Saccharomyces cerevisiae S288C: one gene and its partners. The gene in region 4 interacts genetically with the main gene of each other region. Each region holds a gene or a part of one and is shown on either strand. Other genes may lie near its edges. The genes, in order: YKR075C, XDJ1, GID8 and CTP1.

The links.
Region 1: mutations in CTP1 (region 4) and YKR075C together harm fitness more than expected from each alone (negative genetic interaction), as found in Saccharomyces cerevisiae (2 studies listed by BioGRID).
Region 2: mutations in CTP1 (region 4) and XDJ1 together harm fitness more than expected from each alone (negative genetic interaction), as found in Saccharomyces cerevisiae (2 studies listed by BioGRID).
Region 3: mutations in CTP1 (region 4) and GID8 together harm fitness more than expected from each alone (negative genetic interaction), as found in Saccharomyces cerevisiae (2 studies listed by BioGRID).

Annotation. Positions count from the first base shown.
Region 1 is NC_001143.9:578,755-582,805, reverse strand, and holds YKR075C (uncharacterized protein), read left to right. Parts: upstream 1-2,055; coding exon 2,056-2,979; downstream 2,980-4,051. Other genes in the region: ECM4 (S-glutathionyl-(chloro)hydroquinone reductase), read right to left, coding at 1-523; AIM29 (Aim29p), read right to left, coding at 3,130-3,597.
Region 2 is NC_001144.5:318,520-323,042, reverse strand, and holds XDJ1 (Xdj1p), read right to left. Parts: upstream 2,343-4,523; coding exon 963-2,342; downstream 1-962. Other genes in the region: GEP5 (Gep5p), read right to left, coding at 1-746; alanine transaminase ALT1, read left to right, coding at 3,028-4,523.
Region 3 is NC_001145.3:537,507-541,937, forward strand, and holds GID8 (glucose-induced degradation complex subunit GID8), read right to left. Parts: upstream 2,551-4,431; coding exon 1,183-2,550; downstream 1-1,182. Other genes in the region: REC114 (Rec114p), read left to right, coding at 59-103; ERG29 (Erg29p), read left to right, coding at 332-1,045; GAT2 (Gat2p), read left to right, coding at 3,693-4,431. UniProt on the Saccharomyces cerevisiae protein: Component of the GID E3 ligase complex recruiting N termini and catalyzing ubiquitination of proteins targeted for degradation.
Region 4 is NC_001134.8:782,571-786,724, reverse strand, and holds CTP1 (Ctp1p), read left to right. Parts: upstream 1-2,152; coding exon 2,153-3,052; downstream 3,053-4,154. Other genes in the region: YBR292C (uncharacterized protein), read left to right, coding at 1,652-2,023; BSD2 (Bsd2p), read right to left, coding at 3,169-4,134. UniProt on the Saccharomyces cerevisiae protein: Transport of citrate across inner mitochondrial membrane.

The DNA of each region.
Region 1 (4,051 bases), on a different chromosome or scaffold from region 4:
TACTTTCGTTGTTAACAATTGTTTGGGTTTCTAAGTCCCACAGGACTGGGACGGTGAACCTTGCCGAGTATTGAGGATCGCTCTTGTAATATAAGTCACTGATTCTCTTGTATCCATAGTGAGGCTCATTGGTAGCATCAACCATGAATCTTTGACTGTCATTCTTGATCTCGGCGAAGCTCTTGCTGGAATCCTCTTTAGCAGTTCTAATACCACCTGCAACATCGTGCCAATGTTCCAAAAAATCTTCACTGTCCTCCAATTGCTTTTCCATGTCCAAAAATCTCCATCCTTTCTCGTCAAGGTGCCAATGGACTACGCTACATCCTATAACAGAGGTTAATCCCTTCAAAGCCCTCGTAATTAGTGTTCTATGGGCCCATGGGCATGCAAGTGAAACATACAACCAATATCTTCCCTTTGCTGGCTTATAAATTGGGTGTTGCTTAGAGATTGTTTCTCTGAAGGACGAAACCTGTCTTTTGAAAGCTCCGTTTGTACCACTCGCCCACTGTTTCGACATTTCTTATTTATCTTGCGCAGGGTTTGGGTAAATTCTCGTAAGCACTGTAGTGATGGTAAGAGCAGCGTTACCTAATTAACTACCTTTATACAAGAAATGGAAAAGGGTTGAGAGGGGTTGGACGCTAAGACAAATAAATAGGGGTGTGAAATTTCAAGAGCTGACTAATATCTTAGTAACGGAGAACAACAGAGAACAGATGATAAAACTATATTGATACGTTCAAAAGGTCTTAGGACCGTCTGAAGAGGTGAAATAAAGATGGAAAAGTTTGCGTCACCAAGCCTTTTGCGTCGGTTTCCTCTGTAACACTTTTTAATTCAAAGTGTTAAAATCTCAACTGTATACCCTCTAATTTGCATAATAATGAAACTAAATGTAAAAAAAAAAAGGAAAGAAAATCACTCCATAATCAGGGTAATGAATCATTTTACAGTGTCATTTGCATGTTCATACACATACCCTTCTTGACAGAATGCAGGAAAAGCCTCAACTATTTATCGGACACATTCGCAAATGTCCATTGACGAGTAAAACGTTTCCGCGTCACTACATTCGTCACTACACAACTTTAAAATACCTTATTTTTTTAATTATGCGGAGTAAGTATCTTTGCAGAACTAGATGGTTGGATTGAGCAGTAGGCATCAGTGACTCGAATTGGTGCTCATTTTTATTTTAACGTACGATTTGTTCAGGCCTTGCTATGACAAGCTTCCTGACGAAATCATACTGCAAGATACATAGTCCCAGTCCATAAACTAGTAGAATGACAAAAAGAAACTCAGAACATACATAACACGATAGACAACGTATTCACGGTTTTGAACCCCACGTAGTATCCTTCTAAATGGCATTGCCTTTACCACATGAAAAACTAAGAGAAGAAAGCTCTCTGCACTAATCATTATAAACGACAGCGGACCCGGAAGCGAGTACCCGAATAGGCCGGGGAAGGAAAAGATAGAAAGGAATCTTTTTTTCTTCCCCCCGCTCTTTTTTTTTATGCTTTTTGGGGTTTTTCCGGCAACTTTCAACAGAAATGCCGTAGCCGGAAAAACCGAAAGCGGGGGACAGTGAAGCGTGAGAGGGGCGAGACAGGGGGAACTTGAATGGGGTATTTTGCTTTTGCTGCATTTTTTCCGCTGGTACCTCTATCTTTAGGCGACCGGAAAAATTCATTTTCTCATCTTTTTTTTTTTTTCGTTTCCGACTCGATACTCTTTACAAAGAAACCCCCGCGGGGAAATGTTAGATTTGAGCTTTTTCCGCCAGGAAAAGAAAAAACCTGGGGACATTAATCTTGTTTTTTCTTTCTTCTTTTGTCTTCCCTTGGATGACTGCAGAAAAAGTACAGTTACCGGGTCTTAGCAAAAACAAACATATATATATATATATATGAAAGCGTATGGTCAACACGGTTTTATAGGTTTTACTTTTTGCATTCAGTTCAACTTTGGCCCTTTCTCTTATCGCATTCAGATACTACACACAAGTGTTCATACACACACAAATAGATACATATACAGAAAATGACTAGTTTGGACGATACAATAATTTCGTACCAGAATATAATGTTACTGGATAACATGACCAACTACAACAAGCCTGCGATTGACTATTTCCATCATGAATTTAATGATGCAAGCTTGGAAATATCGGCTTCATGGACACTACTATTGAAGATGCGCAAACATAAACTACTTCGATTACCAAGTTGCTCTTCAGAGGACGTGCTAGATTACAACATGTACCTCGTTAGGCTACATCATTGCCTCTGGAGGCGTTGGTCCATAAATCACTATGGTTTACAGAACTCCAAATCCAATCCACTGTCCATCAACTGGAACAAAGAAACCGATGTAACGGTGTTGTACGGTCCAGATTTGACTAACATAGATAGTAATGAAAACGAAATATCGCCGGTCCAGAACCAAATTGACCAGAAACAAACAAAAAATCTAAAATCTGCTTTAAAGAAAAATACGGAATGCTGGGTAACCGAGGAGGTGGATGAGATTAACGCTTCTATAGAGAGCAATGACAACGCTTTGGTGAAATTAGAAGACATTTCATGCCCATCGTCTGTTGATTCTCACACGTCTTCCATTTTCGACCAGCATTCTACATGCACTAAAATTTCCTCCATAGATGAAGATTCTGAAGACCTTATGAACGAAAAGAAGGAACAATTCCCCAGGAAGTTGAAGTTTAACCAAGCCGTGATGAAGAGGGAGATCGACTCAAAGGGGACTATCCGCGAATCCCTCATCAACATAAACGATATCCAACATTCCCGCCACCATCGCCGTCACCATCGTCGCCATCATCACCATCACCATCAAAATAGTTCTCATTCTGATGAAACAATAAAAGAAGCTCATTATGAGTTCAGCAACTATACATTTGGCACTATGGAAGAAGACATTTTTTATAGGAACCAGGTTGTTTTTTAAAGGAGAGTTTGCTCTCTTCTGCATTTCCACATACACATTTGATGTTAATTTACATACGAGTATACTCTCGTACACAACATATATATATATATATATGTAATATATTCATAGCACTTACTTATTAATGAAGGCCATAAGCCAAACAACATCTCACCATTTTTCTTCAGGGTTTTCTTTAAACCTTAGGTAATCCTCTTTGTTGAAAAGCGAAATTTCGGTTTCATTCTCAATGCCATACTCGAACAGCTTTTTTTTGTCATTCTCTATGTCTAAAGTCCAGTCGTCATCGTGGTCAAAATTGATCACGAGATTAACCGTCTTGGAACCATGTGCGTGCGTGTATATCTTTAAAGTATCAAACTTAACATTACGGAATGGTCTGAATGAACCTTCATTTTGAATTTTGTTCAAAACGTCATTGAACAGGTCCTTTGCAGTTTTATCAGCAAGATCGTAATCGTGCAGCACTATGTTCTTGACGTTTCTATATGGGAAAGATTTTATTACTCGGATTGTAATAACGGAGTTCTTTAGTGGTCTGGCATTTGAGGTTAATGGCTCTTCCAAGTCATAATCATGAAAGGTTGTTGACATTTTCAGCCTTTTAGTTGAATTCATGAAATAATGCAACCAAACAAGAAAAAATTTGGGGGAGGTAGTCTACGCATTTCAGTTCTAACTTCCTTCCTTTTCTTTCACTATTAATTGAAACTTATTTTCATTTTTTTTCTTTAGCATTGAACGCCGAATCTAAAAAAGTAAAGAACTCCTCATAGGGGGCTCGAACCCCTGACATTTCGGTATCCTTGCTTAAGCAAATGCGCTTAAAAGCCGAACGCTCTACCAACTGAGCTAACAAGGATGAGTTCTTCGGAGGGCTAACTCATATAAATAACTAATAAAGGCGAAATAGTGGTCACCACCATCACACTACACCCATATCAACGACAAGAGTTTAATTTGACCGTGGAAATTTATTACTGCTGATTTGGGTTCTATGATAAATCCTCGTAACGTAGAGACTATGTTTTTATATGCGCATTAAGTGCCGGAAAACGTGAGAAATAGGCTT
Region 2 (4,523 bases), on a different chromosome or scaffold from region 4:
ACGGCAGTCAATGCCAGCTCGTTCTCAGGAGAGAGCGGGGGGTTTTCTATGAAGAGGCTCTTGTAAATATGAGACAGCTGTCTTGCGAAAAGTTGGGCAATTTGTTTGGCCGGAGAAACTTCGCCAAGAGCGTTCCTGACAGGAATTTGCACGCCAGGGGAGGGGTATTTTTTGTGATTGTAGCTTAGATGACTGTTCGCTATTAAAAATTTGTAGTGGTTTCCAAGAGAATTTATCAGGAATATCCTCTCTGGTGTGAAGGTATCAAGATCTGTCCCACTCAGACGCATTAACGATGGCGGCGTTTGGACCCAAGGGTTTTTAACGTTAAACAGTGTTATCCAATCCGCCTTCAGCCAGACGCTCCTTGAAGACGTTGAATTTAGTTTCCCATTGTTTACAGCGATGGAATCTACCAAGTCTCTGTGGTTCTCAAATGGCCAGTGAGTCAGTAGAAAGTGGTAGTGTTTTTGGAAGAGATGCGCATGTCGTGGGAGCGGGTTATTCCATTGGAAGTGCGTTTGGTAAATGATACTCTCCAGTGCTTTTAAGCTTGCCCTTAAATCTTGTCTTCTTTGCGCCTTCTCGTACAGTTGTAGTGATTTTGTTAACGGCACGGCTATTTCTTTGAACTTGTAATCGCTTTGTTTACTTGTGAGTGTGGTCGTCAATGCTACCTTGGTTATTTGATGAAGCGGCGTAGACTCTATGACCGGCAGTAATAAGGCGTTAACCTGGGACGCCATTGTTGCTCCAAGTTCGCAATCGCTGTTCTGATAGAAGGCCTTTGTATGCTTGCTTTATGTCCGCCGCGATGGGGATTCTTCCTATTTTTCTACTGAAGGTGCGAAAGACTTCATTCTTCACCGCATTCAGTAAATGAATTTCATATATATACATATATACAGGTAGGATAACTTATGAAAAAAAAAAAAAAATAGAATAAAAAGTTATTGATGCCATCATTGGATACAGCAGTACGAACTTCTTGCTTTCTGATGCGCTGAATCCTGTGCTTCTGGCTTGAACGGCCTTATCCCTTCTGGAAGATCGTCCGTGTGAATGATCCGGAAATTTGATATAGTTTCGTTGTTAGTCAGGTTGCTGTCATCTTCAGTATTTACAGTCGCATGTGAGGCACAAGATGAAGATGACGGCAGATTCGTTTTTATTGCTAGTAGTTCTGATTTTTCATTGAACCAGTTATCTGGTGGAAATTCAATATGAACGAAAACATACAGATCGCCGCACCGGCCATGAGGGTTATCTAAAATGGGCCAACCTTCATTGGCGATTTTGATGGTGTCACCAGGTCTTACTACTCTGCCAGGTTTAACGCTCAATGTTAGTAACCTGTCGTCGAAGGTTTTTGTCAAAAATTTCTCAAATCCCGTCAAGGCCTCGCTTAACGATATGGTAATGCTTGTATACAAATCTTCCCCGGCGCCGTCGTCAAAGTTCTTCAAAAAGATTTGCTTCTGCTCCAAGTTTTCTTGTTTTTCAGTGAGATGGAACTTTAAATCACCACATGTGGTCTTATCGATTTCCTCGTCCGCCATCCCCTTGACTGTAATTACGTCGTTAAAGTGGTGTCCCGGAGCCACGTTCACTGTGATGATTTCCTTCTTTGACAGGAGCCCCAAGCCTGCGCAATCGGGGCAAAAGTTCTTTGGATTCTTGGGTCTTTTAGTGTACTTCCCCTTACCATTACATTTCTCACAGACCACCCATTGCGAAGCTACCAAACCGGGACCAAACCTCTTCAGACGTTCCTTTGAACCCTTTCCAGCGCATGATTCACATTCCACATCGTGTGTAACGTGAATTTTCCTCTTTGGTTTCCAGCCAGAACCGTGGCACTTTATACAGATGACCTGTCTCTTTAAATCAAACTTCAGCTTCTTGCCCATGTACAAATCCTTCAAAGTAAGAGATATATCGATATCGATATCCTTAGAGCTTGTAGAGTTGCCCTCTTCGTACGCATCATACTCGCCAGGGAAATTATTTCCATCGTGACTTCCATTATTGAAGAAATTGTTAAAGAAGTTCATAAAATCTTCATCTCCAAAGCCATTAGCGCCACCGCTGCTAGCGGCACCATTATCATCACCATACAAGTCGTAATGTGATTTCTTCTCCGGATCGCTCAAGATCTCGTAAGCGGCAGTGATCTCTTTGAATTTGATTTCATTTACCTCCTTTGAGTCTTGATCCACATACTTGTCCGGATGATGTTTCAGGGCAAGCTTTCTGTAAGCAGTTTTAATCTCTTGCACGGTCGCATCTCTCGTCACCCCCAACACATCGTATAACCGGTCTCCTCTATCACTGCCACTCATTCAAAACTACACCTGCGTACTTACTTTTCCCTTTCTTTTGGGTCCAAGCGGCATATCTCTTAAGATAAGATAAGCCTGACTCTTTCTTTGCCTCTCTGCCTTTCTTTCTTCTTCCCTTCTGCAGAGGATGGCTCGTCGCTACTCAAATCCCGACCCAAGAAACAAAGAAACAAGGATTGCACAGCAGAGCGCTGCCCCACACACATATATGCATATGTTTATTTACCGCATATTCGTGGCTATATAATCCATATATAATACACAGCACATTCATGATATAATCTTACATAGTAGCACTTCCCATTAGACGTTTTCTGCTTTTACAGTACTGGTTTTTTTTTCACTCTTGCGTCTTTTTTTTTTTTCATTCTGAAGGGGTCCAAGCCTAACGATTTTCGACCTTTCGTTGAGACAACTTCACGTACTCTTCTGACCTGCTGTGGTTGACGTATTTAGAGTTTGCTGCGCCCTTTGTAAACGATCGTGACCCGCGGACCATACTAGGAAAAGCTCTTCCGTTACTACTACTGCTTTCTCGCTATTTTACTCTAGTTGTTCATACTAGTCACACGTTGCTCGAGAACAGGACCAGCTTCTTTGTTTCTCCCCCGCATTTAATTGTTTCTGCTTCTCAATTGAACGCATATAAATATATTTCCCCAGTCTTTATTTTGCTCTCTCCACGATGTTATCACTGTCTGCCAAAAATCACTTCACAGTGAGTAATTCTATAACTCACGTTATTAAGTCATATCATATAAGGACTCTCACTTCAAGCGCAGAAAAAATGCCACATATCACTACTCCTTTTTCTACCTCAGCCAGTAGTACAAAGTTAAAAGCTTTCAGGAAAGTTAGACCCGTCCTACAGAGACATAGCTCTTCCTGGATTGTTGCTCAAAATCATAGACGTTCATTATCTGGTCAATCTTCGCTAAACGACCTGCGTCATTTGAATCGCTTTCCACACCACACGTTGAAAACTTCGAATAACGAGTTTTATCCCGCCGAACAATTGACTTTGGAAGACGTAAATGAAAATGTCTTGAAGGCTAAGTACGCCGTTAGAGGTGCCATCCCAATGAGAGCTGAAGAATTGAAAGCTCAACTGGAGAAGGATCCTCAATCTCTGCCATTTGACAGGATTATCAACGCCAATATTGGTAATCCTCAGCAACTACAACAGAAACCTCTGACTTACTACAGACAGGTCTTGTCTCTCTTACAATACCCAGAACTATTAAACCAAAACGAACAGCAGCTAGTTGATTCGAAATTGTTTAAACTAGATGCCATTAAACGTGCAAAGAGTTTAATGGAAGATATCGGTGGTTCTGTTGGTGCTTACTCTTCTTCTCAAGGTGTAGAAGGTATAAGGAAAAGTGTCGCTGAATTTATAACGAAGAGGGACGAAGGCGAGATATCATACCCAGAGGATATTTTCCTAACTGCTGGTGCATCCGCAGCTGTCAATTACTTGTTATCAATTTTCTGTAGAGGGCCAGAAACGGGTGTCTTGATTCCAATTCCTCAATATCCATTATATACCGCTACTCTAGCTTTGAACAATTCTCAAGCTTTACCATACTATTTAGATGAGAATTCAGGTTGGTCAACTAATCCAGAAGAAATTGAAACTGTCGTCAAAGAGGCTATACAGAACGAAATCAAACCTACAGTTCTAGTGGTTATCAATCCAGGTAATCCTACAGGAGCTGTCCTATCACCTGAGTCTATAGCTCAGATTTTTGAAGTCGCAGCCAAGTACGGTACAGTAGTGATAGCTGACGAAGTTTATCAAGAAAATATCTTCCCGGGCACCAAGTTCCATTCTATGAAGAAAATTTTGAGACATTTACAGAGGGAACATCCAGGTAAATTCGATAATGTTCAGCTAGCTTCTTTGCATTCGACTTCTAAGGGTGTTTCTGGTGAATGTGGTCAAAGGGGTGGCTACATGGAACTCACTGGATTCAGCCATGAGATGAGACAAGTTATCTTGAAACTAGCCTCGATTTCATTGTGTCCCGTTGTCACAGGTCAAGCTTTGGTTGATTTGATGGTTCGTCCACCAGTGGAAGGGGAGGAATCATTCGAGTCGGACCAAGCAGAACGTAACTCCATCCATGAAAAGTTAATTACAAGAGCAATGACACTGTATGAGACATTTAACTCTTTAGA
Region 3 (4,431 bases), on a different chromosome or scaffold from region 4:
TGACTTGACAAAGAAATACTAACTAACAACTTTTGCCACTACAAATATGAATGAAAAGGTTAATAAGGTTGAAACGGTTCTCAATAAAATGTTCGAAAAGTGAACCCTTTTTTTGCAATTCCTTTTTACACTAGCCACGAAGTAAAATGGAAAAGTAAACCCGAGTTTCGGCAATATCGCTAAGCAAGAAGAGCAAGCTCGTTTAAGTAAGCCTTTATGAAAAAAAAACAAAATATAAAGCATTATAAAAATTGAATCACATCGCAAATCTGCAATATACTTGGAAGTGTTTATAGCAAAGTGTGGTATAGAAAAAGAACCAAAGGCCGGTATGTCGTTAAAGGATAGGTATCTAAATCTCGAATTAAAATTAATAAATAAACTACAGGAGTTGCCATATGTTCATCAATTTATCCATGATCGAATAAGTGGTAGGATAACTCTCTTTTTGATAGTGGTTGGTACGCTTGCATTTTTTAACGAACTGTATATAACGATCGAAATGAGTCTTCTACAAAAGAACACATCAGAAGAACTAGAGCGTGGAAGAATCGATGAAAGTCTGAAGCTTCATCGGATGTTGGTGAGTGATGAATATCACGGTAAAGAATACAAAGACGAGAAAAGCGGTATTGTTATTGAAGAGTTCGAAGATCGCGATAAGTTTTTTGCAAAACCTGTGTTTGTATCAGAATTGGATGTCGAATGTAATGTTATTGTAGATGGGAAAGAACTTCTGTCCACCCCATTAAAATTTCATGTTGAATTTTCTCCAGAGGATTATGAAAATGAAAAAAGACCTGAGTTTGGTACTACCTTGCGTGTATTGAGGCTGAGACTTTACCACTACTTTAAAGATTGCGAAATATATCGCGATATAATTAAGAATGAGGGCGGTGAAGGGGCAAGAAAGTTTACGATTTCCAACGGTGTCAAAATTTACAATCATAAAGATGAACTACTGCCATTGAATATCGATGATGTTCAATTATGTTTCCTGAAGATTGATACGGGAAACACGATAAAATGCGAATTCATACTATGAAAGCTTCCAAAAAAAAAAAAGAAAAATCAATTGCTAAATGCATACATGCAGGTAGGCACACACACACACACACACACACACTCACTCACACATGCACACGCACACACACATATATAAATATATACGTACTATGTATGTCAGTTTTCGACCCTAGGAACCCCTATTTGGTTGTGATGAAGCTGATTTTCGCACCAACACCACAGTTTCATTATCTGCGTCAATCTTGGTTCATAGGGAAATTCGGAAGAGTAGTAATTATTGAATTCTAAACCTTTTTCCTTTCCATTTGAAGAGGAAAGCAATTCAGAAGTTTGATTCCAGTAATTTTTATTTTCTAAGTTATGAAAAGTTGTCGCCGCTGAACCTGTGCCAACATTTCCATCCCTTTGATTTAGCCAAACTGAATTAGCAGCAGCCGTGACCTCGTTGCTTGACATCTTTTCGTTGATAGGTTGGTCAGACGAAATGTGAGTTATTTTTGTACCATTTGAACCATTGACGAGATTGTTGTTATACACCGTGAAGTTCTGCGTAATTATTTTCTTGTCGGAATTTAACAAATCTGGAAATTTGGAATTATTATTGCTGATCTCAAATTGAATCCTTGGATGAATAAACTTCAGCAGCTTCTCATTAACCAGATCTGCTATCTTAGATCTTAGAGATATCGAGTACAGATTTTGTAACGATTTGGGCAGCTTAATGCTGCCGCTGTCCGCCGAATCTGACAAGGGGAAAAGCAGCAGAGTCATTGCTAATTCTAACTCTTGCATCTTTTTGACACTTGACGAAGCCTTTATTGCAAGTTTATTTTGAGAATACTGAATTAGATTGAGTATAAAGTCGTTGGAATCCTTGGTGATGTTCTCCTGTTGATGGTGACTTCTTATCATCTCGATCAAATTCAGTAACAGCAGTTTGAAGTGTAAATCTCCATCTATGTCAAACTGCTGCTGCTGCTGCTGCTGCTGCCTGTCAGTTCTACCCGTATAACTTCCCGTAGCATTGAAAGTCTCTTCCAGCACCTCCAGCCCGAAGATAGAGTTTATCTCCTCCATCGCCTCATTGATACGCCCCAGCTTAATAAGATGTTTGATATGGAAACGCTCCTTGATCTTGTACAAATCATTGAAAACCGCAATGTCTTTGTTGTTCCGTATAAATCCCAGCTCCTTGGCCATCCTAATGCTCGAGTCTTCATATGCCATAGAAACAAAGTAGTTCAACAGAAGCCGTGGCAGTGTGGGCTCTATGGGTGTGGTCTGTATGGTAGCAAATCCCTCGTCCTGCGAGCCGCCACTGCTGTTGGGCTGAATTTTCAGCGGATAATGTATTGTCTTATTTGCATATAGCTCGCCCATGGCAGAATACTTGGCCACCTGCTCCTTCCATTCTTCCTTCGTGAAGCACTTCTTTCCATACGTAAAGTCTTTCCCACCATTCTTGCCTTGGCCGCTGCAAGATCCGCTCTTCGTGGTCTCGTTACTAAGAGTAGATATAGTCATTTCTATTTGTTACCACACACAAATATATCTTCATCCGGCTGATATTTGTCTCTACTGCCCCTTTGCTTGCAATTTAATGACCAAATTACACATGTTAGCTTCAAGAAAAATGATGTACCATCAAAATGTCTCCTGCAACGAACCGGGGCACCGCGCCGGCAGAGTCAGGAAAGCGAGATCGACACTGATAGTGATAAACAGCAACACAATGGAGCGATTACCATTCACTCGGAACGGATCCGGACAACAGTCAAATAAACTCCGGGATCCCAAAAAGGGCCGTACACACAAACCCAAGCCGAGCGAAAAACACAAAAAAAATAAAACAGGGAAAAAAGGAGCGCAAGAGAAAACGCACAGGAGTAGGAGCAGCAGAAAGGGGAACTAATATGGTTTTTCCGTTTGCTTATTTTTATTTTTTTGTTGAGTCATGGGCACGTCACCGCACAACAGCCGCCGCAGGCCTGTACCGCTACGCGTCTATCACTGCGAAACATCGCTACTTCTGTCGCCGCGTCGACGCTGGTCCAGACCACAAAAGGATGCACGATCAGAAGCACTGTACCCTGCAGAGTTGGAGATAGTGTAACCGTGACTTCATTTTTCAAGCGTGGTTTCACATTCTTTTTGCACCGCCCTTATCTCAGATATAGTTTCGTTCGGTTGCTTTGCTTTCCCCAACTGAAGGTGCTGGATGGCGGTTTTTCCGGCTGCTGCGATTTTCCCTGCGCGGGGCCCGGCGCGGAATTGTGCAAAAGCTAAAACTCAACGGTTATTTTGAAATATAAGGTTATAAGCAAATTTCCTAAATTTGCTTAATTGTTAATGCAGTTGTTATTGCATTAAGACATTCGGCTATCGTTTCCTTTCTTCGTGTCGGCAATCTTGTATAAAAGTTATTTTTTGAGTTTCAGTTTCTTGTATATCTTGGTATATATTGAAGGAGGATTTTTTCTTTCCTGGTCCTTTTACTTCCTTGCGTCCCCTCATATTTCTTCTATTTCCGTTCACGGCGTTTTTTTATTTTCTCCATCTACTTTTAGTGATTTCCTTTGCTCTAATATTGTTTTCGTTCATAGTGAATTGTTTGTTTTCACTTTAATAAAGGGCTTTTACGACTTGTCTCAAAAAATTTCATCGAGATGCAAGCCCCCAATATCTACCCCTTCTCTCAAACACAGCCACAAGCACTGCCCGGGTTCACATACGGTCCTCCACAACTTGTTTTTGACCATTCTGCTCCGAGAGTAGATCCTTTGCATTCTACTGTAACTATAAATTCTCCATTACCCTTGCAGCATTATAATGGACCGAATGCCCATATAAACAGCGCAAACAACAACTACGCATACTACTATCATCATCCCAACAATAATGATAACAACAACCATAGTAACAACACTATAAAAAATAACAACATTAATTCTGTTCTTCCCGCCGTTAATATTCAAATATCCAACAACTCACATTATAGAAATACACACCAAATTCCTTCTGCTCCTCAGCGGCTGGTCAGCATCATACCGGATCCCCACATGCCGCCCAATATTTCTCACTTTCAGCTAAATAATATTCACCCTCAAATGCATGCTCCTGTTGCTACTGATATTCATTTCCAACAAGTACCAGTTTACAATAAAACCAATAATGGCATTGGTACTGATAACATTAATAACGATAAACCCGTAAACTCGAATCAGAATGAAGTGCTGGACAATATTGATGAACGTTCCTGTCATGAAATTAACAGGGTAGTTTCATTTTCTAAACATTTTGAAAACAACGAACTTACCACTACAGCAAATGATCTAAACATTCAATCTACTATGGATGAATTAGCTAAACTGAAATCTTTATCAAATTCTACCCATTTCAGGCAGA
Region 4 (4,154 bases):
GGAATTAATGTTTCATTTACTACATTTTAAAGCATTTTGTACCATTCAGAGGCAAGAATTGGCCAATACTGTGTGTTCTTATAACGATAACTAGTATATATATTCTCGAAATTGTATATTTCTGTGGATTTGCACACAATCATCTAATAGCAAATTAGGAAGAAAGCCACACATGCACATATATCGCATCACTTACCGAGCCTTAGAATGTGGTTGCCACACATTAGGACATGTTACCCCCCGCACCTAGCAGAAATATAGTATTAATCTATCAGTGCTCAACACAATGTGATATCAGTACAATTCTTCATGCCATGGTACGTCGTCTCTATTTTCTTTTATATTCTGTTTATTATATCATGTTCTAAAAATGTCATATATACAATTCTGAAAAGGTTTTTGACCCTTACGTAACGCTATTCGGTCAACTACTTGTGAGACATATATTGTTCAAATATGTAAATGAAGAAAAGTACGCCTATTACTAGGATCCACAATACCGTAAAGCCTGTTAAACAAGGAGGAACAATATATATATCATAATTTTTTTAGAAAGAAAAGCCAAAGAAACAGCATTTGCAGGCACAAATCCGTGATAATAATGCATAGAACAATATGTGAAACCCCACAAGGTTACTGGTCGGATGATGAGCGAGCCCAGAGAAACCAACAGACCTCTGTAAACATCACTATGCCTTATCACCACACTTTACCATAATGCATTGAAAGTGCAATTGGAGAAGCCACCAATAGACGAGCTATGATGATATATTTAGCGTCCCTTAAAATATCGACTTATACAGTGGATAACATTTCCGCTCGCATTCCTCGAAGAGCATTATTTCCAAACTACTGTTGAAAAAAAAAAAATACGAAGACGACGCTTACCTGAGCACCCAGGATGTACACTTCGCCACAAATTTTGAGAGGCCTTTTGTTGTGATATTAGTTGAAATATATAACCACTTAATCAGGCAAAAAGACAGCAGTCACTATTTCAAGTTGGTAAAAAAATCCTGTTTTCGCTAATTGTCGATTTGGCCTTTCACCTGGACTTGAAAGCTTCAATTACGGCCTGATACATTCATTCTTTATACTGACCTTTGCCCAATTTATTATCCAGAACTATAGCCATTAGGTTGCAGGCCACTGGGACCACCACTGACTGGAAAATATTCTATTGACGAATTTTCCGCAACTCATCGCTGATTAGTTTATGAACTTATCCCGTCGGAATGAGAAAGTTACATATGCAGGAATTCTCTACAAGCAGCAATAACATGCTTTTATTTTACTGTCGTATTGTAATTGCTTATTCGGTTCCAAACATGTCAGCTATGCCAATATTTTAGAAGAGTGGGAAAAAAAAGAGATGTTATAGACGAACGACAAAAGTTGTGAAAAACTCGAATGGAGTAATGGAGCAAGAAACAAGAATCTGTCATAGTCAATACGTGATTTTGATATGCTTTCAAGCTTCTGAGAACTTCATTCATTACACTCCACCACATATACTATACAACGAATAGCCCAGTCGAAGAGGTTATGATTGTGTTCATTTATTTTTTTACATGACAGAGTCTCCCTATTGATACTAAGCTTGCTGCAATAACTCTTCTTACTAAGAGGTAACTTACATCTTGACTTTTTAATGAAGTTCCCAGCCGATTACCATTATACGTCGCCGTTTCGTTCATGTAAATATTCAAATATACTACACTTTATATCTTTGCTTCTTATATTTTCGCGCGTAGGTTTGCCTAATTACATTTTTATATTCCTCATCAATAAAGCCGCCAACAAAGAGCACAGGGTAGAAACTCTGCTGTCTGGGAACTCGGCTAACGCTTGTAAGCTATTTAATATTCTCAAATCATTTCAACACCTCTTTTTTTTTTTTCAAATATGTACTATTTTCTCTATTTCCATTAAGTTAGTCTTACTGAAGAGTCAAGAATATGGAAGAATTCCTGCGGAATTTTCAATTATTAGAAGTGAAAAAAAAAAAAAAGAAGAACAATGAAATTTAGTCTCACTTTAGCGTGATATATAAAACGTAAAATGTCGAAGCCAACGTAAAATTAAAAACATTTTGATGTCACAATGAAAGAACTCCAAAGTAGAGCTTGAATTATAAATTAGCATTTTACCGATGTCCAGTAAAGCTACCAAAAGTGACGTAGATCCATTGCACTCGTTTCTGGCAGGGTCCCTAGCCGGTGCTGCTGAAGCATGTATAACATATCCTTTTGAGTTTGCCAAAACAAGGCTGCAGCTGATTGATAAGGCCTCCAAGGCATCAAGAAATCCTCTGGTATTGATATATAAAACTGCAAAAACTCAGGGCATTGGTTCCATTTATGTCGGATGTCCCGCATTTATTATTGGAAACACCGCTAAGGCGGGTATTAGATTTCTTGGCTTTGATACCATTAAAGACATGCTAAGAGATAGTGAAACTGGAGAACTAAGTGGTACAAGAGGGGTGATAGCTGGGTTAGGTGCGGGACTATTAGAAAGTGTTGCCGCAGTGACTCCTTTTGAAGCAATCAAAACTGCTTTGATCGATGATAAACAATCTGCTACACCAAAATACCATAATAATGGGCGCGGTGTAGTACGAAACTATTCATCATTAGTCCGTGATAAAGGATTTTCTGGTCTTTATCGTGGTGTTTTGCCAGTTTCCATGAGACAGGCCGCAAACCAAGCCGTTAGATTGGGTTGTTACAATAAGATTAAGACCTTGATCCAAGATTATACGGATTCGCCAAAAGACAAACCTTTATCATCCGGGTTAACCTTCTTAGTGGGTGCATTTAGTGGTATTGTGACGGTCTATTCCACCATGCCCCTTGATACTGTGAAAACAAGAATGCAAAGTTTGGATTCCACCAAATACTCCTCTACAATGAATTGTTTTGCAACCATTTTCAAAGAAGAAGGGTTAAAGACGTTTTGGAAAGGTGCTACGCCTAGACTTGGGAGATTGGTCTTGAGTGGTGGTATTGTTTTCACTATCTATGAAAAGGTCTTAGTTATGCTAGCCTGAAATGTATTATTGTGTACAATATATCATCTAATGTTTTCTACTCGTTATAAGTCTATTTACCAGCCGATCACTTAAAAAAGTTATATATCTCTTTTTATCATAATGAAGAAGATGGCTTATGCTTGATTTTGACTTTGGTTGAGGTATTTCTTTTCCAATTTTTTGACTTGAATGTAGTCGTATATACTCTTCAGGGTGATAAATAGCCCAAGAAATGCCACAAAAACAGCCAACCATGGTATGTTTTGTTTTTCTTCATCCAGACCGTGATTCAAATGTGATTCAAATTTATCTTGTGTCGTTGATTGTGAATTTAGACGAACATCATCGAATTCATTTGGATCCTCTAATTCCATTCTATTTAAGCTTTTATTTTTGCCGACTTTTGAAGTAACATCATTGGGAATCATTGAATAACCATATCCAATGAACGTTAACCCTAATCCAAACCTTGAACCTTGCTTTGCTGCGTGAGATGTGTGTAAAATGTAGGTTATTAAAAATCCAATGAACTGAAAACTCGTGCTTACGATGATATTCCATAATAAATTTGCTATATTTCCTACAGGAAGCCCCTCAATGCATATTTCGTCGTAGTAGATATCTGAATTGTTCAAATCCATTCCATAATACGAGGGGGCCATATCAGCAGCAGCTTCGTCGTATGTAGGTGGTATGTCTTGTTCGTTATTACCTTCAGTCTCTGTGGTATCTGGTTTTGCGCTTAAATTGCTAAAGACACCATCAAACATGGCACCTTGTTGTATATCCGAAGACTGTTGTGTACGTTTCTTAAAAAGTCTATCAAGAATATTAAAATGTCTTCCTATTTTTCCTATATGTCTGGCTGCTTGTTCCCTCAGCTGGTGTGGTACTAGTCTTTCTGTCGTACTATTTCCTCCACTGCTGCTTCCCTCGTCCTCTATGCTATCTTCCTCGTCAGACCCTATTTCCGTTTCCCCTTCTACGCCAGTTTGTGTGTCTCTAGTTCGTCCTGCGTTTCCGACATTTATGCCATCAGTAGATGAACCTGCATGAAGTGTATTCATTTCTTGCCCTATAAGTAGTTCTTGCTCTGGCATAGCGCTTAGTTTCCTAGACT